Schizosaccharomyces pombe: one gene and its partners. The protein of the gene in region 1 purifies or fractionates together with the protein of each later gene. This does not show direct contact. Each region holds a gene or a part of one and is shown in the gene's direction. Other genes may lie near its edges.

Region 1 (8,957 bases):
CTATTACTAATTGAATTAGTTCTTATGTTACGCACATATCTCATTCTGTGGTCTTCATAACGACTTCTTGTAATTGGTGTTGGATATTGTCCAATTATTGTTATCTCCAAAAAGCTTTCTTATATTCTGTTTTTCAAGTTCTTTATATCTTTTTATTCTTTTTCCTACGTATTGTTAAGAGTGAATAAAATGCCATGTCCTCTTATGTGCCCAACACCCTGTCCGTATATCACAACTTGTTAATTTTAGAGGCATCGTTTCGGAAAACATACCTACAGCTTCAAGTTCGTCGTCAAAAGTATATGGCTTTCTATGTCTCACTATTGGTGTGGAACTTTTACTTTGGCTATCGCGTCTTTTATCGCATCTCAAAATACTCGTTGATTGATTTGACTTACAAACTTTGTCTTTTATGCGGAATTGTTACACTTTTGCTCTTTTATTTTTCTGGATTGTATCGGACTACAATAGTATATCCATCACGTTATGTTCAACAAGTCAACAAAGCGATGAGGTTTTTTAACATTCGCCTTGTTATAACTCCTGTCCCGTGGTTCCAGGTGAGAAAGCCTTTGGATTGTGGTGTCCATCTTATATTATCAAGCAAACGATTTGACATATTGGTGATCGAAGGTTGGGAAGCTTTTCGTTCTTCATATTTTGCTTCAATACATAGAAAAAACAATAGCATACAGAGTAACGAGTCCTCTGAATCTCCTTCTTCTAAACAGAACTAGATTTACTTATACCCTTATCCTATTTATAAAGGATGCGATCGTTTATTTCCTTTTCAACGTTGTTAATGCTTTTCATGTTTATACTGTTCTAGTATTTGTCATTTTTCATAACGTAAATTTTGATTAAAATTTTCAGCTATTTTTTTTTTTGCTATCCGTTGTTGCTGGCGCCTTTCGCTATATTATTGATCAGTTATTGTCGTTATACTTTTATTACATACTTACCCGATTTGAATTTATTAGGATACTTTTAAGGACATTTCCTTTTATGTTGGGATATGAGATTGCTTTACAGACCCACTGAAATAGGATTTATCGTTGGATAATTAAAAAAAGGATGTTGATGATTCATTACACATCTTGATCATTTACTTGCCTCATCTTAATTGGAAGGGTTTAAATAAAGGCTTAATTGAAAGTTGCTGTCACTTAACTTCCTTATCTTGTTCTGTCAACTTAAACTATTATCTTTCATTCCCGACTTATAATCTTTCTTTTCTTTCTACATCACCTTTTTTTTTAAAAAATGGGTAAAAAGCGTTTTCGCATGTACATAAGCAAAACTTCTTCTCTTCTTATGTAGAGACTTCCTTTTTTTTTAATTTTCAACTTACTCATGCGGACTATACCGGACGTTCATTAGCTCTCTTGACGAGTTAGGTTTTCAAATAATTTAATATAAATGTAATCACTCCACCGTTAAAATTAACTATTTATAAGTGGTGCTAAAATATAAAAAAGTGCATATAGCTAACACGTTTACTCACTGTTGTGCTGACAATTTAATCAATGAAATAATTGGAGACAAGTGAACTCTTTCGAAACTCTCATAATCGTCAGAGTTTGACTTAAAATACATTGTATATTAGTAGTCTAAATACGAGTAATATTATGCAAACCTTCCTATTCCTTATCTAATGTCGACTACTCAGTTAAATTTTATCCCAGCCAATTGCCCTAGCTAAGACATTTGTTATTATTTTGGTATTATGTTTATTCTTTTTGAACTTTCTGGCTAATTGTTAAAGATTTTACCTTATGTGATCTATATTTTCTTACTGGCTCAACCATGCGTAACGCTCCAACAACCAGCACTTTGCTCCATCACAATGCCGTTGTTCTTAGAAGAACATGCTGAGGTAATTTTATTTTTAAGATGCCGAATTAACGCTTTTAGTATTTGAAAAGATATTTAGAACAGGCGTTGGAGCCAATGTATGTAATTTTTTTTGAGTTGCCAATTTGCGTGATTTTTTTTTTTACACGCTAAAAAATTGTTTATCAATATGCTAACGAAATGACTAGTTCTGATGCTGATGCAAGTGTTTTATCAGATTATGCTATGGCATTGTTAAGGCACGATTCTTCTGAAGAAGAAGTTCGCCAGTTATGCTACTCACAACTAGAAGATTTTTTGCGACAGGAGACAATTCCTTTTGTTGATAAAATTTTTGATGTTTTACGTGAAAAATCTTACTTGGAGGGTGCTTCAAATATGCCGTCAACCGGTATGGTGACTGAAGAAGTTTCAAGGTATTCGCCAACTTCATCAATGATCCCTGCCACCAACAGCATGGAAACCAATTTTAATAATTCTTTACCTGCTGTAGGAAAAACAAACACTTTTCCCTCTCAGGTGCCTAATATGTTTGGACCTCCGTTGTACCATCCAGCAGCCACAGCACCTTCTGAATTCATGCCCAGTATTCCTGGGTTTGGAAACTTACCAAATCCTGCAATGCCTCCCATACCATTCTTACCATTTAATCCTGCGGCGCAGCCTCCTTTCCCTCCCCCATTTAAGATGCGAGGTAAAAGAGGATTTGGCATGCGCCATGAGCATAATAGTGAACTTCGTAGGCATTCTCCTGGTAATCGAAGATTTAATCCATACAAAGCGTATCCCCAACCCCATCTGGGACATCGCTTCTCTCGTAACGCTGGCAATGATCCAACAAGTACTGCTTTAGAAGTGCGAAACATTCCGGAAGAGCATTTTAATGAGGAGAACATTAGGTCCTTTTTTTCAAAGTTCGGTGTATTGGAGAAAGTCGAATTAAATCCGACACATCATTCTTGTGTGTTAGAATTCACTTCCCATGAGGCTGCCAACAATGCTTGGTCCTCGCCTGAGCCCATATTTAACAATCGCTTTATTAAAATATTTTGGTATAATCCGTCAAAGGGATTTCACAATCGACCAAAGAAGTTTGCATCCCATAAATCTCCCACTACTTCCGATTCGTCGAATGTAGAGAGTTCTGAAGATGTCGATCCTGCTTCTTTGTTACAAAACGAAGAGTTTCATAAACTGATTGAAGAAAGGCAAAGGCAGCACGAAGAACGTTTAAAACGCATAAATGCTAATAAAAAGGCACTAGAAGAACTTAACCAAAAAAAGCGCGAGCTTGCACAGCAACAATTAAAAGAACAAGAGTTACTGATGCAAAAAATTAAGGAAACTGACCGTTCAGGAAACAAAAGACTCATGTTGTTAGAAACTCAGCATTCTCTTTTGAAGGCTGAGGCTGATTGCTTAGGGTTACCTGTGAGCAACGTTTCTGAAAGCCCAGCGGCATCTAATGGTTCTCATCATCCTTACGCTTCAGGACTTCCCCAGCGAGGTACCAACACATTTTTCCGTGGCAGAGGTCGCGGACGAGGTGATATGTTTGCGTCAATGTCCATCGATAATCGTCCAACTAAGCTTCGTGTAATAAATGTTTCTCCTGAAAAAAATGAAGCTTTGTTGCAATACTTATTCACTGTTGGAGGATATGAGGAAATTACTGAACCTTCAACTACTGAACGTCTTATCAGTTTTCAGAATAGAAATTCCGCTGAAAAGGTATGTAGCTGATTCTTTCTCTGACAGAAAAAATTTCAAGTTAACAAATTTTAGTTTTTTGGTGGAGTTCGGAACGTTGAAAAACTTCAAGAATTGGAGTTGGCGTGGGTGCCAAAAACAGCTGTTACAACTAATACTACATCCATGGAGACTGGCGAATCTAATACAAGCGACAACATGAACATAGAGGTAGAAGAAGGAAGATGGCGCTAGTTTATTTACTTTTACAAAAGTTTTTCAGAGAATGAATTAATGGGCTGCATTGTATGCGGCTGTCATAAAATATAAGCAACTAATTGATTAATCTTATAGAGTGCAATAAGCATTTCAAAAATGGAGATTTCATATTGAAATATTTGTAACTAACATTTCGATCAATTCGGTTTTTTGATACAAAAGAGTTAATGCTTCCGAATTACAACTCAAATCGTTACACAATTCATTAAAAGTGGTAACAAAAATCGGCTAGGAGAGAAAACTCATGATAAGGAAAGAAACATAAATTCAGTGTTCATAGCAAGAAGTAAACAAAATGGGCATGTTACTTCAGTTTAGAAATAATGGCATCGGTATATTGAACATTGTTTGACTTGCCGCCCAAATCCTTGGTGCGAGCATCGGGATTGTTTGCAAGGGTATCAAAGATAGCTAATGGTAATTAGTAAACAGACAAAATCTTAATTTAGTAAAACACATACCTGATTCGATGCGTTTGGCATAATCATTTAAATTCATGTGCTTCAACATCATTACAGAAGATAACAGTAAAGCAGTAGGGTTGGCTAAACCTTTTCCAGCAATATCAGGGGCAGTACCATGAACAGCTTCAAAGATGGAAGCTTGGTTGCCAATGTTTCCGGAAGGAGTCAAACCAAGACCGCCAATTAAACCAGCGCACATATCAGAAACAATATCACCGTATAAATTGGGCATAACCATAACTGTGTTGTTATAAGGGACAGGATCGGTGACAATCTTCAAGCAGGCGTTATCCAAGATTTCCTCCCTAAGCTCGATATCAGGATATTCAGGTGCAAGCTCCTTGGCGCATTCCAAAAATAAACCGTCAGCCATGCGCATAATGGTAGCCTTGTGGACTACGGTGATGTTGTTCTTGCCAGTTTGGCGAGCATATTGGAATGCATAACGAATAACACGCTCAGATGCTGCGCGAGTAATTAATTTAATCGATTGAACAACGCCTGGTATAACTTCATGCTCGATGCCTGAGTATTCACCCTCAGTGTTCTCACGAATCAAAACGGTATTAACGTTATCATAAGGTGTTTTGTATCCCGTAATAGATACACAGGGACGAACATTGGCAAACAAGCCGAAAGTACGACGCAAAGTAAGGTTCATAGAAACATGACCCTTCCCAATTGGGGTTGCCAATGGACCTTTCAAAGCCACTTTATTTTTCCTAACAGATTCCTTAGCATCATCAGGAATAGTAGTAGTACCTAAACGAATTAGTAAACGTGATTTTCGTGCGCGATAATCTCGAGGAGACATGGAAGGACTTGACAAGCAGGAACAAGCATTGCTGACAAAAACGTATAAAAGAAAGGCCAAACTGCATACAAATCCAACCATCTTCTCTTATACTTGACATACCATTTTTCAAAATAGGATATACTTTTACACGTTCCCATTCGATAGGGACCTACAATACAAGTCGTTAATGACTAAATGACGGATGACTCGACAAACCTTTGCAGCCTTAAATATACGTTCTACAGACTGAGCAATTTCTGGACCAATGCCATCGCCAGCAATCATCGTTACTGTGTAGTTCCCGTTGGCATTCTTTACTCCTTCATATGTCCCAGCGGCAGCCTTCGTTGAAGAAAATCTCTGCTAAAAATAACTCTGTTAATATAATCGATCAAATAATCATGAAAAGACGAGTAAGGCTGCTTAAACCAGCGATTTATCGCTTAGGAGCCAATTCACAACTTACAAAAGAGTAACAGGCGCTTCTTGAAAACGTCCGTAAAGAACCTGCAGTACGTAAAGTAGAAAGCATTGACATTGTTTTTTTATAACTAATGTAGCATGTATGGAGAGTGCAAGATGTCGGACCGTGATATAAACAAAGGATTCCGAGAGTCGTCGCATCATCCTTAATTTGACTTTACCGAATTTTGTGGAGATAGAACGTGGAGTTAAGCAAGGGTAATTGAGTGGAGTTTAACCATTTAGAAAGCCCCTCGAAGCGGAATGAGGAATTGTTATTACATAGCGCTCTTTTTTACTGCATTGTCTATTATTGCGTTATATAGTTTTTAACGATAATTTCAGTAGTACATAATTATTAATGTTGTTTAAAAAACACATCTATTTGGTTCTTGAGGTATATTCAGTAACTAAAGATGTAATTGTCTAAATTGAGAGGATAATTCGACGAATTGGTTTTGCTTGAATTAAAAAAATTGTAATTTTGTAGCTTCACACTGGTGTTATTGATATCTTGACTTTTGTATTGTTCTCAACTGGAAAATTAGTGTTGTCATATACTAGGTGTGCTTTTTTAATTTTTCGGATTATGCTTTATTTTCTCAATTACTCTTCCAAATATATTCATTCATTCAACAAAAAGATGTTTTGCTATTTGTCTTAAATAGTGTAGCATTTTAGAATACGTAGTTCCTATTTCAAACTATCTCAACCATACACTCACTAAAAACAATAACGATTATTGTGTGTTAAAGGCATTTAAAGATTTTTTAGGAATAGTTAAAAAAGCATAGTGACATGTAACGAAGCGTACTGTTTGCCCGCACAGTCGAAGTTGCCGCTTAGAATTAAGCTTCGGTTAATAAAAACTAGCAAGTTATCCTAACGAACTGTGGGAAAAGCTTATTCAGGAAAACTTCGTGGATCCCGTTAAAATACGTTATGATAACTAATAGCGAACTGTCTTGTTGCTGTGTTTTGCAATATTACTTTTAAATAGTATAAGACAGTATGTTAAGTTAGGTTTTCAGAGTGCATACTCTATTCGTTAATTCGTGCTTTCAACTCTTTATCTTTCAAGAGTGCAAGAATCTCTTGCAAATTCGAGCTTGGTCTTGCAACTGTTTATTCTAATCCTCCAGCGTCTTGCTGGTGGTTTCGCATGTCTGAACATAATTACCAGTCTGATAGGGAAGTGGCAGAGGATCCTTTTCTTAATTATGAAGCCTCTGCTAATCAATTATCCTCAAATTCGCGCGAATCTACTCCAAGAGGTTCACCATGGCGCGCTGGTATGAGATCCGCATCTTTAATGACAGAACCTTTAGAAGATTCCATGTATAGCGATAATAATTATTTAGACAATGGGGTCTCTTTTACAAAAGATGAAAATCCTCTTTACTCGCCGTCTTGGCCGAGTTTGGCGGATGCAAACGTGAATTCAATGAAGTCTAATAATGCTATACAGGAGCATAAAGCAGCGAAATTTGTTTCTGAAAAGTCTTTGGAAAAAGTATCGACTGCAGATAATAACCTTGTGCTTCAGGAGCTTGAAAATCTCCGAGAACGCTTAAATCAAGTAGAGCTTCAACTCAGTGAGCGACCCTCTTCCTACTTAGGCTATCATAACAATCTTAGTCCATATCGTTCTCCTAACAGTTACCCTTCTCTTTTACCCTCTACTCATTCACCTCACTCACCGGCGCCGCTAAGCACGATGCAAACGGCTCTTATGCGGCTTCGCACTTATCATCCTTCGCCCATCATTTTAAAGCCCGTAGAGCAAGCTGTAAACCATGCAATCACCTTGGTAAACACCTCTCCATCGAGTGTGGTGGATGCGTTATGCCGAAGCCTTGCCGAATTGTGTCTTGGCTTGGTGCAAGAAGCGATCGATGCATCTATTTTGAGTCAACAGGAAAGCTCAAACTCTTTAGATCTTGTCCGTCATACACCACCATTGAATTATACCAGTTCTGTTGATTCTTCACCACAACGTATGGCCTCTGATAGTTATGGTAGGCCTTCTCTGCATTTAAATGACCCCTTTCCATCAGTTGATCTTCAATCAAATGAACTTTCTCATCATAATGTTAGAACAACTCTCTTTTCTGATGATTCCCGATTTCATTCAAAAATTCATACACATTCTACTCCTCCTTCTCAAATGTATAGTGCTGCATCTCATTTCCGGTACCGTAGCGATCCATCAACCCGTCATGTCTCGAATTCTACAAACAAATCGAGCTTGCATCCATCACCAACGTCTTTGCGAGTTGCTCATCCTATTATCCCCCAGAGGGCGTCTCCAGCATCACAGTCTTTTCCTTCTCTTCAAGACACTCCTTCCCCCTAGTTCGGCCTATTACAAGTTTAATTTTGAATCAATTTTTCTTTGTGTTTATCAAGTAAATCAGGTTCTTCTCATACATGTAAGTTCATACAAACATTGATTGAGGAGTGCTATCATTTAATTTGTCGTCCCTCTCGTACAAGTTTTTATTTTTTTTATATCGCTCATTTCTTTAAGAAGTTGCTAATCCTACTAGGACGTCTATTTTAATGTTATTGGATCTGGCTGCATCTCTATTTGCTGCATTGCTTGCTCAAACTTTATAGTATGAGAACGTCTTAAAATTTGAGGTTTTGTTCATCTTCTCATCAATGCTATTTTTTTAAAATTGATAATTCAGTGCAGATCTTTTCATTATTTAACCATATACGATAATTTAGATTTGGGAAGTGGATGTCTTCTTCGCAAGACGAAATGGTACATTGTGTTTAATTAGCTTTATTTCGCACCTGATTTATAAAATGAATCAGATAATTTAACTCGTTACTGTATTTACTTTTAGTATCTTTCTATATTCAAGTTTACCAACTTGTTAAAATGCGTTACCTCTGTCACCTGTAGAAAAGCATCAAATGCTGTAGCTTGGTAGGAGCTCACAATACTTCCATACATCTTTTCAGTCTATCATCAATTATTAGAACACTGAAAATTTGTATTCTCCAGTTATCTTCTTGCAAGTTAAATATTATAGAGGAAGCTAAGTTGAAATGGTTATTGGTGCCATGAATGTTTGAAGGTAACTCACAAAATGAATTCTGAATCAGCGAAAGAAAATGCAGAAGAGCAAATTGAAACGAAAGGACGTGCATTGAAGTCCTCAACAAATATAGAACGAAAAGAGTCTTCCTTACAACCGCTTCGATCAAAACTTCCTTTGAGAATGTCTCAAAAACTACCTCCCTTAAAAATTTACACCTCCCAACTTCCCCTGGTTTCCCACAAAAATATGTTGGAAAACGAAGAGGAAGCTAGTCATTCACAATTGTTTACTCCGTGTCCTGTCCCTCCATCTTTCCCGAAAGCATCTAAACCCAATTCTAATCAGCCGTACCCCAATGGC
Region 2 (6,459 bases), on another chromosome or scaffold:
GTGCTGCGAAGGAAACAGAACACTTGTTTGCCAAGAAAGGACGTGATTTAATTAAATATTGTGAAAGGGAGAAAATTTCTTTCTCTGAATTCGAAACCTTTGCTGATATCCATAAAGATTTGCAAAAATTATTCTTTAGCAGTTAAATCTGAATAATACCTAAGAAGTTTTCGTACTTCAACATTTTTATACCTAAAGTTGATAGATATTTGTTATCAGCGCCTCGAAACTTAGTTTCAAGCAGGTCCTCATAGCAATTTAAATGCATCATTCACCAACGGTTCGATTAGTTTGGGTTGTTAGAAGCAATGATTTAACATAATTTGTATTTATATACTCATCCATTTGCGAGTCTTGTATGAAAAATCCTATATCATATCAGTCCGTAAGTGGTCGCATTGCTACAATATCTCTTTATTTTTTTTAAGAAAGAAAATAAAGAGATATTAAATTTTGCGTCTTTTGGTCGTGAGATCGCCGAAATAAGGTAGCGAGTATAACATAATGTAGATCACGCATATTGTTATATTTTGGTTTGGTAAAGTTACTCAAAGTCAGGAAACTTGTAATGATGTTTTAAGGGGCTTGCAGAAAAAATTGCTATTACGAAATCCATGTCTGTAATATTTTGGTTATTAATAAATTGAAATAAAATTTAAAACATGAAATATTGTGACTTTATGTATCCTGTCTACTACCATACCTTTCAACCTTCATACAAATTTTCCCGTACTCGCATCATTTTCTTTCTTCACCTAACTCCCCACCGTGTCTGTAAAACATAATATTTCTCTTTCCCACATACGAACGAATAAATAATAAAATACAGTATATGTACAGTAAACGTACCTCAGACACCATTATTTTGTCAAGAAAGTGAATAAGCTTACAATACCCCCGTCATCCAGTGAATTCGTAAGTGGGAAGTTGAAAAACGCATGCTCAACGCAGGATAGCATACAAACGGAAAAGCCCTTATGGATTTTTCTGTGGATGCTTTTCTTTTTAATTAAAAATTTAGTCGTTTATTAACTATTGCTTTAAGTTTTTTTCAACAAGATGTCTGTCTCTGGAAAAATTGGAGAGGTCGATCGTTGGATTGAACAGTTGAGTCGATGCGAACCTCTTTCAGAGGAAGATGTCATTCAAATGTGTGATCTCGCAAAAGAGGTACTTTCTGTAGAATCAAACGTTCAAAGCGTCCGATGCCCTGTAACGGTTTGTGGTGATATTCATGGACAATTCCATGACTTAATGGAGTTGTTCAATATTGGCGGCCCTTCACCTGATACAAATTATTTGTTTATGGGAGATTATGTTGACAGAGGATATCACAGTGTAGAAACAGTTTCTCTACTGATTGCTTTTAAAATTCGATATCCCCAGCGTATAACAATATTACGTGGAAACCATGAATCTAGGCAAATTACACAAGTTTATGGATTTTATGATGAATGCCTTAGAAAGTATGGAAATGCGAATGTTTGGCAGTACTTTACAGATCTTTTTGACTATTTGCCTCTCACCGCCCTAATTGAAGATCGAATTTTTTGCCTTCACGGAGGTCTTTCTCCTAGTATTGATACACTTGACCATGTTCGTATATTAGATCGTGTGCAAGAGGTTCCTCATGAAGGTCCGATATGCGACTTGTTATGGTCAGATCCTGATGACCGACCTGGTTGGGGTATTTCTCCTCGAGGTGCTGGGTATACGTTTGGCCCGGATATTGCTGAAGCATTTAACCATAATAACGGTTTAGATTTAATAGCAAGAGCTCATCAGCTAGTTATGGAAGGTTATAATTGGACTACAAACCATAATGTTGTTACTATTTTTTCTGCTCCCAATTATTGTTATCGATGTGGAAACCAAGCAGCCATTATGGGAATTGATGACCACATAAATTACGCATTTATCCAATATGATACTGCTCCCCGAAAGGAGGAATTACATGTCACCAGAAGAACACCCGATTACTTCTTATAAGTCATCGTATGTTTTACTTTCTTCTTGGACTTGTTAATAGCTGGAATTTTTCATGGTTGGATTTTAGCGTTGTCAACGTGCCGCTAAAAATTTACTTTAATTTTATGGGTTTCTAATAGAATGTTGTTATCTTCGAATTTTTAATTCTCCTGTTTCGGTACAAATATTGAATTTATGGAATGCATATAAAATTTATATAGGATATATGATGCACTTGTAAGGTGTCTACCGTAATGATAATTTTTCACATCTGTACCGGTGTATAATATATTAGTGAAACACCAACTTATCGACATTAACATTTTAATAAATTATCTACAAAGGTCTAAACATAAATGATAGCATGTTCAGTAAATAAAAAAAAAACATAAGACCATGAAAGCTAAAACATTGTGAAGCTGATGTATGAGTAAATTTAAAACTTGTGCGCAAAAAGTTAATCGTCAAAGCTAGATATGTTAATAATCGAAAATTTAACAAACAGCTTACATGTAACGCTCAAGTAAAGCACAATTTCCTCCATTTTTAAGATTTACTGCGAACCGATAATAGTGTCCTGAATAAGAAGCTACTTGTATGTGCGGACCGCTGCTCGAAAAAATTATTTTTCCATAGAAAGAAGCTTCAGGAATCTTAGCAGTTGCAAATTCTTTCCTAGTGTCCCAAACTTTTGCTACATTTGAAGTTAAATATTTTGACCAAGAAGATGACACAGTTACGGAAGATGTAGGAGACGAATTCGGATCCGATGGTTGCTTAGAGATTTTGAAAACGTGAATAGTACCATTTTCAGAAGCACAAGCCAGAAAAGGCTCAACTGGGTGAAATGAGATAGATACAATGGATGCAGGTATATATCCCCTGCGCAATTCTGTCACCAATTCACCATCACTAGTTGTTATAACACGGATTACAGTTCCCTTTGCGGATGCAGTCGCAATCAAATGTCCACGCGGATGAAAGTCAACTACTTGGACAGCGGAAGAATGGCAATGAATCAATGTGACGGGTATTGCAGTATCCAATGAGGCTAAATAAATATCACCAGGGTTGGTCGGTGAATTATATGCAACATAATTCTCATGAACAGCAAAAGCTATAACATTTCCTTTCGAGGTATTTAGAGTATTAATTAATTCCATGTTTTTTAGATTATATACGTAAATACTCCCTTTAATTAAAACAACTAAACGATTCCATGTGAAACGTACACTTAGCACAGGACTCGGATAAAATATTCGGCATAAAACGATATCTCTCTAAAAATATGGGTTAAAATTAAGAAATCAATGCAGAATCTCAGTTAACTAATTACCTTGATGTCAACCAATTTTAGTAACCTCGTCGACTCAGGGGAAATATTCACGAAAGCAAGTAGAGAAGATTCATAAAGCATTTCACAAATACTTGCCCCATTGGCTTCTACAATCAGTAAGTTATAAGTCGTGTAAGATGGGCTTGTGTTTCCACTTCTCGGAAATTCATTGACAGCTTACTTTTTGAAAAGCACAGGGTAAACGGATTGGAGCGATAAACTTGATAGCCATTCTCAGAACCAATTGATAAAAAGCTAAATTTAGCAGTCAGTACAAAGATTGCACAAAATCTATTTTATGTGTGCCACTTACCCACGATCTTGATTCCACGAACAGTAAAGGATAATCGATGGCATTTCTCTTAAATCGACTGTTAATTTATTTAGTAGTTCACATTCACCCCTGTCTTAATACAATTGCTGATCACGTTCAATGGTAAAAGTAAAACAGATTTGTGCTAAGGCAGTGTGCGTAATTGAAGCAAAAAATAATGTGATTCGTACAATGCAAAAGCTTAACTTTGTAGTATCCAGAATATAAAAGAACCCATTTGAGCCTTTAGCAATTTTGATTAATGAATGTTTTTGTTATGTTTGTATTATGCAAGATAATATATACAGTGGTGCAGCGCTCCTTAATGGTCACCTCTACGCACATTCAAGAGCGTATATCTTGGCAACATCCAAATGTTGAATAAAACTTTTTTTGGGAATTCATGAATTTTTATTGTTTTGGTTAAATTTAAATATTAATGGATGCCGTTGAACCTTCTGTGGAGAAGGAATACAAAAAAATAATTTCTTTTAGAGATACTGTGTTTGAAGGGAAACATCAACAATTTTTGGTTCCGAACAATGTTCGTTTAAAATTTTTAAGAGATAGATTACATAAATCTTTAAAAAATTTTGATTCTGTTAAACGGAAAGTCGAAATTGCAAATGATGAAGGTAATAACAAACTCCTGAAATCATCACCCAAAGCACAAACCAGAGATGAAAATACTCCTTCTGAATTTAAGAATGGAGGTTTTAGTAACAGAGAATCTATGTCCGAAAACTGTTTTTCTAAATCATCTACTAATTTACCACGGCTAGACATTAACCGTGATTTTAATTCCTTACTTAATAGTCAAACAAAACCTGAAGCCACTGGTTTGATGAAAGAGGATATTACTCCCGTTGTAAACACTAGCAAACAATCTTCTACTGGGACTCAAGAGGAGTCCTCAAAACCGGAAAAATCTAATAAATTGTTAGCAAAGAGTACTTTATCTTTGTATGGGAATCAAGCTTTTAATCCTTCTTCAGTTCTTCCTAGCAATTCTTCATCAACGCCTAAGGAAAATAAAAAAAATGTGAATAAAGAGACATATCAACCGAACACTTTTCGCCGTAGTCCGTTGAAAAATGATACTGGATCAGTGGAGTTATCAAACCTGTATATGCCGTCTCCACCATCATCTGCGCTTCCCGTATCGCTTGTGTCAGCTCCTTCTCCTCCGAGGGCAACTAACGTTGCAGTCCCGTGTCTTAAACATTTGGAATCGAGTGAGCAGGGCAATAACCTACTTATTAACAAAGCTTTTACTTCTCCTCGCCTTCCTTCACCTCCCCAGTCAACAAGACCTAGCTCTACTAGGTTTCCTTCGGTTCCTTTATCAGATGAAAAAAACTCAATTGTCTCCGTAAAAAACGAAGAGCCGTCTGTCATTCTGGGAAATCAATCACCAATTTCGGATTTGCATCCGTATTCTCCATCTTGGATCCCCTATCCAAAGGAATTGCAATCGCTACAAGTCAATCGAATACCTGAGTTGTCCTTGGAGAACAATGTCATGTCAACTCGGGATTATAAGGATATAATGCCTCACCCTCGTCCTTCTGCTGTCCTTTTAGATAAACCGGTTTCTTTAGATCAAACTTCTCATCCTTTCCCTCATCAAAATACTTATATTCTACCTCCGGGGATAAGGAATTCTGTAGACTATGACGGCACTTTTCTTTCCCGTAAATCGCTTCCTCCTTATAATGGCATTCATCGTCTTCATGAGAGCCCTTCTCAGTTTTCAAATCAATCAAGATATAATTGGGAGCCAATTTTAGAAAATCGCTCCCTGCTCCATTTGAATCGTCCGCCTCCTATTGAAACGCACTATTCATACGAATCTAACAATTCATCGTTTTCTCCGTATTACCATAAACGGCATAGACAGATTTCTCCATACTACCCCACTTCCTCAGTTTATGGAGTTTATGAAAGTCCGCCTCACATGTCTGATTCTCGTATTTCTCGGCAGCATATGCCTTTAACGCATACTACTTATGAGCCTTCTGCGCCTTATTATAACGACTATGAATTAGCAGAGGAAATTGAGAGGCGTCGTCATCATAGCTTTTATGATTATTAGCTATACTCTTCCGTAAGTGCGCGCAACAATTTAAAAATTGCTTGGCGGAATATTTGAATTTGCATGTTTTTGTTTTAACTTATAAAGAAAATTAAGTACCTTTAGTACTGGTAATGTTTGATGTACATTTATTATAGTAGATAGAATATTCATGTTGCATAAATTGGTTTCGCACTTTCAGTTAACATTTTCAAATTCATTTATACATAAATACTTTTTTAGATGATTAATAAGAGGCGTTTCATAAATAGTATAAGTACTTTGTAAGCCTATTCTAATGGATGTGAATAAACAAAGAGACTATGGATTATGTGAATAGTTATATTACTTTCTTATTCGATAATCAAATTTTAAAGCTCCCAAATGCAAGATTATTGAAGAAATTTTGAAAAAGTTTCTTTAGTTAACATTAGCATGTAAAAGACACATAAACCCTAATTGACTGTAACATAAGAGACCTTTTACTTACGTCTACAGCGATTATTCTACTGGACTTAATAAAAGCAAAATTCGGACGGTCGAAACAACTCATTTAGACGTATGAGTCTATTTATTGTAGGTTAGCTTTTTGAATGAATATTACATATCATTATTTTTCTCTTTCTTTCTCTAACTACTAAAACCTAGGGTACTCATAACATCAAAAACTCAGCAATACAACTTTTAAAGACGAAACTGAAAAATGAATTTTTAAAGGGCGTTAAATGTATTACTAAATATCCCGAAAATGCACATAGCATTTTTAAA
Region 3 (5,875 bases), on another chromosome or scaffold:
ATCGCCCCTTCGCATTCCAATTCTACCTCATCTCGTCGCCCTTATATACATCCGGCTTTTCTTTCTCAAGTCGCCGTTGAGTTCCGAAAGCGTCTTAACATCGGTGACCGTGTGAAGGATGGTCTTCTTTATAAAGATGCCTTTCTTGGATCGGAAGCTGTCGATGTATTGATGCATATAGTTCGGACGACTGACAGGAATTTGGCGTTACTTTTAGGAAGAGCCCTGGATTCGCAAAAGATGTTTCATGACGTTACTTACTCTCATAGACTTCGCGACTCGCTCAAGGAAGTTTACCAGTACCGACGTATCATTTCTCCTCCTCCTGGTCTCTCCTCGATGGATTCCAATGGATCGTCGATCGAAAATAACTTTCTCTACACAAAAAGAAGAGCGAACACGTCTGATTCATTTGACTCTGTTTTATCTGATTCTTCTACGACACCTACCATCTCCTCGTCTGTACAGGTAAATTCTTTAGCTTTCATCACCTCATCCCTAAGCGCAATTACTAAGGAGCCTGAAGCTCCTGAAACCGAATACAATCCTCATGGAGTGTTTACTCTTTTAACGGAATGCTACTCCTCTACATGTTCTCGTAATCGCCTTTGCTATTCTATATCTTGCCCACGTCGACTAGAGCAGCAGGCCCGTCTCCATTTGAAGGTCCAACCTGTATTAAGTGGGGGATCAACTTCGATTACAGATAAACAAGAGGAAGATCATCGTTTATGGTCGGAAAATGTTCCTAAGCAAGTTGTAGACCAGATCGATGTCCGTGAATGGAAAAGACAGGAAATCATTTTTGAGGTTATTTACACAGAACGGGACTTCGTCAGAGACCTAGAGTATATACGTGACTTTTGGATTAAGCCTCTTTCAACCTCAAATGTAATACCAGAAAACAACCGACAACAATTTATACGTTGCGTTTTTCATAATATCATGCAAATCCATGCTGTCAATTCTCGTTTGTCAAATGCTCTAAACCGTACTCAAACTCTGCAACCTGTAGTTAACACAATTGGTGATCTTTTCTTAGATTATGTTCCTAAATTTGAGCCTTTTATAAAATATGGTGCCAATCAGGCTATTGCCAAGTTTGAATTTGAGCGTGAAAAAAGTACGAATAGGAATTTTGCGAATTATGTTCATGAAGTGGAAAGATTACGAGAGTCTAGAAAACTAGAACTTAATGGTTATTTGACCAAGCCTACGACTCGCCTTGCGAGGTATCCGCTACTATTAAGTGGAGTTCTTAAGTACACTGATAAAGATAATCCTGATACGGAAAACATTCCTCGTGTAATCGAAATGATTCGTGAATTTCTTACTAAGCTTAACTATGAAACAGGGAAGACTGAAAATAGACTCTCGTTGTTACAGTTAAACGAACAGCTTTCCTGCAGCCCTGCGGATCGAGCAAAATTAACATTGTTTGATCCATCTCGCTTATTGATTTTCAAAGGCGTCGTCAAGCTAAAAGCCAGTAGTTATTCGAATGGGGACACTGAAAACGACATTCACATGTTTTTACTGGACAATTTTCTCTTGTTGTGTAAGATAAAGATTCAAATGAAAAGAAGAGTTCATAAACTGCATCTCAGGCCATTACCTTTAGAATTGTTGTCGATTTCTTACATCGAAGACTCGCCATCGAGAGGTAGCCTTCCGCGTCGACCATCTTCTGCTTTGTTAACTAATCCAATTTCAATTACAAAAAGTAATCCACCTCCTGTTAAAGCATACGGTTTGCAGTTAGTATTTATTGGAGCCCGTGGTTTTTCTATAAGTCTTTATCTCAATACACTGATTGCTAGAGACCAATGGAAACAACACATTGAGAAACAGCAAGATATCATTCGAAAGCGTCATTTGGTATTTGAAAGTCGAGGCATATGTTGTCAGTCCTGGTTTACCGGCAACAAGTTATTATGTGCCGTTGCCTATGGTAAGTATAATAAACAATATGTTAAAGAAGTAAATGTTTGTTAACAGCTCTTTAGATGCGGGCCGTAAATTACTATTTGGAACTTACAAGGGACTATATATCTCTTCTCGAAAAAGTAATAATGGCAGTTGTCTTGAACCCATTTTCAAGCTGCAATTACCAAATATCTCTCAACTAGATGTAATTGAGGAACATAACGTTCTATTGCTTTTAGCCGAGAAGATTTTGTACGAGTTACCTCTGGACGCTCTTGATTCAGTAGAACAAATTAATTCAAAGTCTTTGCGACGTGTAACAGGTCATGTTAGTTTCGTCAAAACAGGTTTTTGTATGCAAAGAATTTTAGTCTGTGCGGTAAAGTCCACCGTTTTAAATACTACATTGAGGATTTATGAGGCTGATCGTGCCTTGAAGAACAAAAAGACCCAGTCTCTAAAAAAGCCTTTTGGCAATCAAGCAACTTTGAAAATATTTACTGTGAGTTACCTCGTCGTTCTTTCTCTATACTAACATTTTTTTAGGAGGTACAAATGCCGATGGAAGCTTTGTCCGTTCACTTTCTCAAGACAAAGCTTTGTGTGGGAAGTTTTAAGGGATTCGATATTATAAGTTTGGAAAATGCCGTATTCCAATCTTTGTTAAATCCTGCTGATACTTCATTTAGATTTTTAGAAAAGAGGGAAGATATTCGACCGATTGCCATGTTTCGCTTAAGAGGAGAATTTCTCCTCTGTTATTCAGATTTTGCATTCTTTGTTAATACGAATGGCTGGAAATCTAGGCAATCCTGGATGATTAATTGGGAGGGCCAACCTCAAGGTTGCGCTTTGTGTTATCCATATATCCTGGCATTTGAGCCGGACTTCATTGAAATTAGGAATGCCGAAACAGCCGAACTCGTTCAAATCATAATGGGACAAAACATTAAACTTTTAACTGATGGCCGAGGGTTAATTAGTGAAGGAGGTGAAATACTTTACAGCACTGAGCCAATTCCATTTTCATCTGGAGAAAATCCTATAGTTCATTCTTTAATACTTCCTCCAGCAAATGCAGCAGGTCCTGCACTTTAGATCGTTTATGACAGTACTGTCAACATTTGTGCGAACTTCTCCTTGAGCATTTTGGAATACTATTTACTACTCCGGACATCTTTTGCATGCCACATCAATTGATTATAATATATGCTATTACAATCTAAGCTTCAAGAATCTATGACCCTGCTTCATCTCTTTAAGGAATAACTTTAAAAATTCCTACGTACATATATTTACTATGGTTGAGATAATGCTATTGACGATTGTGTGTTTTATTAAACGAATTGTGTCTTTTTCAATTTGCTCAACATTGCACGCTGTTTTTGTTACGAATCATTCTTTTTCCATAGATTTATTATGCATTTCTTTAGTCAACTAATAAACAACCTCTCTGCATTCAGCATATTCATTCATTATCTTTTATTGTGATTGTTTAAAATACTCATGTGTAATCGATAACTTTTCATACTATTGAAGATAACATGAACAGTGTTACAATAATAAAAAATGCTTTTATATGCATTCCAAACTCCTTAACATTTTTTATGTTTTAGCATTCACCAAATATTACCACGTAAAATACACTTTTTCGCAACGAGTTGCTTATCTGTATTAAACAGCATTAACGCAGGCTTCGATAGAGTGTGCAGGAGTTTATCGCCACGTTCAGTAGGGTTTTTCTTGCTACATCATTTTTTAGAAGACATCTAAAATCTTAAAAGTAAAGTGTGTACATAAATGTTTTTATAATTTTTTTAAATAGATTTTTCAGTAAAAGTCTGTGTATTTAAAGTACTAAAATAATCAGGAATTATTACAATTTTTCAGGTGTGTGACTGTGTGTTAGAGAAAATATTTATTACAACCCTTCAACTTTTTTTCCACAACCCACTCACCTAGCTAAGCAAGATTGCTAAAATGGTAGACCAACTGGAGGATTCGGTTATTGAAACCAACTACGATGAGGTTATTGACACCTTCGACGACATGAATTTGAAGCCTGAGCTTCTCCGTGGTATTTATGCCTACGGTTTTGAGCGTCCTTCTGCCATTCAGCAAAGAGCCATTATGCCCATTTTGGGAGAGCGTGATGTCCTTGCTCAAGCTCAATCTGGTACTGGTAAGACTGCTACCTTCTCAATTTCTGTTTTGCAGAAGATTGACACTAGCTTGAAGCAATGCCAAGCTCTTATCCTTGCTCCTACCCGTGAGCTTGCTCAACAAATCCAAAAGGTTGTTGTTGCTTTAGGCGATCTCATGAATGTTGAATGCCATGCTTGTATTGGTGGTACTCTTGTTCGTGATGATATGGCTGCCTTGCAAGCTGGTGTTCACGTTGTTGTTGGTACACCAGGTCGTGTTCACGACATGATTCAACGTCGTGCTCTTCCTACCGATGCCGTCCAAATGTTTGTTCTTGATGAGGCTGATGAAATGTTGTCCCGTGGTTTCAAGGACCAAATTTACGACATTTTCCAACTTTTGCCTCCTACTGCTCAAGTTGTTCTTCTTTCTGCCACCATGCCTCAAGATGTTTTGGAAGTCACCACCAAATTTATGCGTGATCCCATTCGTATCCTTGTTAAGAAAGATGAGCTTACCTTGGAAGGTATCAAGCAATTCTATGTTGCCGTTGAAAAGGAAGAGTGGAAGCTTGACACTCTTTGCGATCTTTATGAAACCGTCACTGTTACTCAAGCCGTTATTTTCTGTAATACCCGTAGAAAGGTCGATTGGCTTACCGAGCAGCTCACTGAGCGTGATTTTACCGTCTCCTCCATGCACGGTGATATGGACCAAGCTCAACGTGATACTTTGATGCATGAGTTCCGTACTGGTTCTTCTCGTATTCTTATCACCACCGATCTTCTTGCTCGTGGTATCGATGTCCAACAAGTCTCCTTGGTTATCAACTATGACTTACCTGCTAACAGAGAAAACTACATTCACCGTATTGGTCGTGGTGGTCGTTTCGGTCGTAAGGGTGTTTCCATTAACTTTGTTACCAACGACGATGTTCGCATGATGCGTGAGATTGAACAATTCTACAATACACACATTGAGGAAATGCCTATGAACATTGCTGACTTGATTTAAAAAATACAAAAGTCCTTTCTTCTCTTTGTTCTAGATATGGAACGCTCCGTGATTGCTCTTCTCGCAACCCGGCAAACCTCCCGCAACTTAATTTATCTGCTTTTCTTTGCCCATGTTTTTAATGCTTCTTTTATCTGTGCCGGTTGATAGCTGCTCACCATATGGTTTTTTGTGAGTCGTGTTAGTGTTTGCTGAGAAAGGATTTTTTTTTTCGGCTACGCTGTTTATTCATTAGGTCACAAAATAAAAGGCTGGATTTGGTTGATTTACATATATTTACTCTTCTTTTGAGCCTCGTGTAGCTGTTCTGTGATTACTTTTATAAATGTGTTGTAGTTTGGTTAGAAGGTTTGTCGTTTTTTTGTTTTTTGGTAAAACTAAATGAGTGAATAGAGGATGTCAATCTGTATTTTGGATTGAACTTTTATTTACTGCGTATACCTTTGTGGAATTAATTTTTTTGCTCAGAGCTAACGTATTTGTGTTAACCGTAACTGTCCAGTCGTACTTTTGTAAGGAATTAGGAAGTTCCTTTTGCTAAAAGTTAAATGGTCTGTAGTAATAAACAATTCTGCTAGGTAAAAGTTATTATTAATCATTGATCCATTAACCTATTATATTCGCTATGTTTATATTAACTGTGAGATTAAAGGTTGCATCACTTTACGCTCTCAAAAACGTAGCTTTAAACTGCAAACATTATTTGACTAGTTTTAAAGAGTTTGACTTTTAAGTCAATGTAATGAAAGAAAAGAAGAAAACAATGTTTTCCCTGCATCAACAGAGTTAG

What was found. Proteins that work in one complex are often made in the same cells at the same time.
Region 2: the proteins of rmn1 (region 1) and iss10 purify together in Schizosaccharomyces pombe (affinity purification with mass spectrometry; one large-scale study listed by BioGRID). This does not show direct contact.
Region 3: the proteins of rmn1 (region 1) and tif1 purify together in Schizosaccharomyces pombe (affinity purification with mass spectrometry, with the first as the bait; one large-scale study listed by BioGRID). This does not show direct contact.

What each region holds. Positions count from the first base shown.
Region 1 is NC_003423.3:488,036-496,992, forward strand, and holds rmn1 (MTREC (exosome adaptor) complex RNA-binding subunit Rmn1), read left to right. Parts: upstream 1-1,820; 5' UTR 1,821-1,846; coding exon 1,847-1,876; exon of another isoform or gene 1,877-1,914; coding exon 1,915-1,952; exon of another isoform or gene 1,953-2,042; coding exon 2,043-3,585; intron 3,586-3,639; coding exon 3,640-3,798; 3' UTR 3,799-4,126; downstream 4,127-8,957. Other genes in the region: protein phosphatase regulator Nem2, read left to right, coding at 195-737; idh2 (isocitrate dehydrogenase (NAD+) subunit 2), read right to left, coding at 4,127-4,233, 4,284-5,048, 5,203-5,251, 5,299-5,445, 5,549-5,620; gamma tubulin complex linker Mto2, read left to right, coding at 6,707-7,900; dual-specificity MAP kinase phosphatase Pmp1, read left to right, coding at 8,778-8,957.
Region 2 is NC_003424.3:2,607,044-2,613,502, forward strand, and holds iss10 (protein Iss10), read left to right. Parts: upstream 1-3,982; 5' UTR 3,983-4,056; coding exon 4,057-5,712; 3' UTR 5,713-5,959; downstream 5,960-6,459. Other genes in the region: ptf1 (phosphoric monoester hydrolase), read left to right, coding at 1-146; serine/threonine protein phosphatase PP2A catalytic subunit Ppa1, read left to right, coding at 1,060-1,989; phosphatidylinositol-3,5-bisphosphate binding protein Atg1802, read right to left, coding at 2,426-2,438, 2,479-3,248, 3,305-3,411, 3,486-3,559, 3,618-3,661; SPOM_SPAC7D4.13C (uncharacterized protein), read left to right, coding at 6,253-6,267, 6,340-6,459.
Region 3 is NC_003424.3:5,081,657-5,087,531, forward strand, and holds tif1 (translation initiation factor eIF4A Tif1), read left to right. Parts: upstream 1-3,873; 5' UTR 3,874-3,906; coding exon 3,907-5,085; 3' UTR 5,086-5,375; downstream 5,376-5,875. Other genes in the region: RhoGEF for Rho1 Rgf2, read left to right, coding at 1-1,951, 2,007-2,428, 2,473-3,024. UniProt on the Schizosaccharomyces pombe protein: ATP-dependent RNA helicase which is a subunit of the eIF4F complex involved in cap recognition and is required for mRNA binding to ribosome.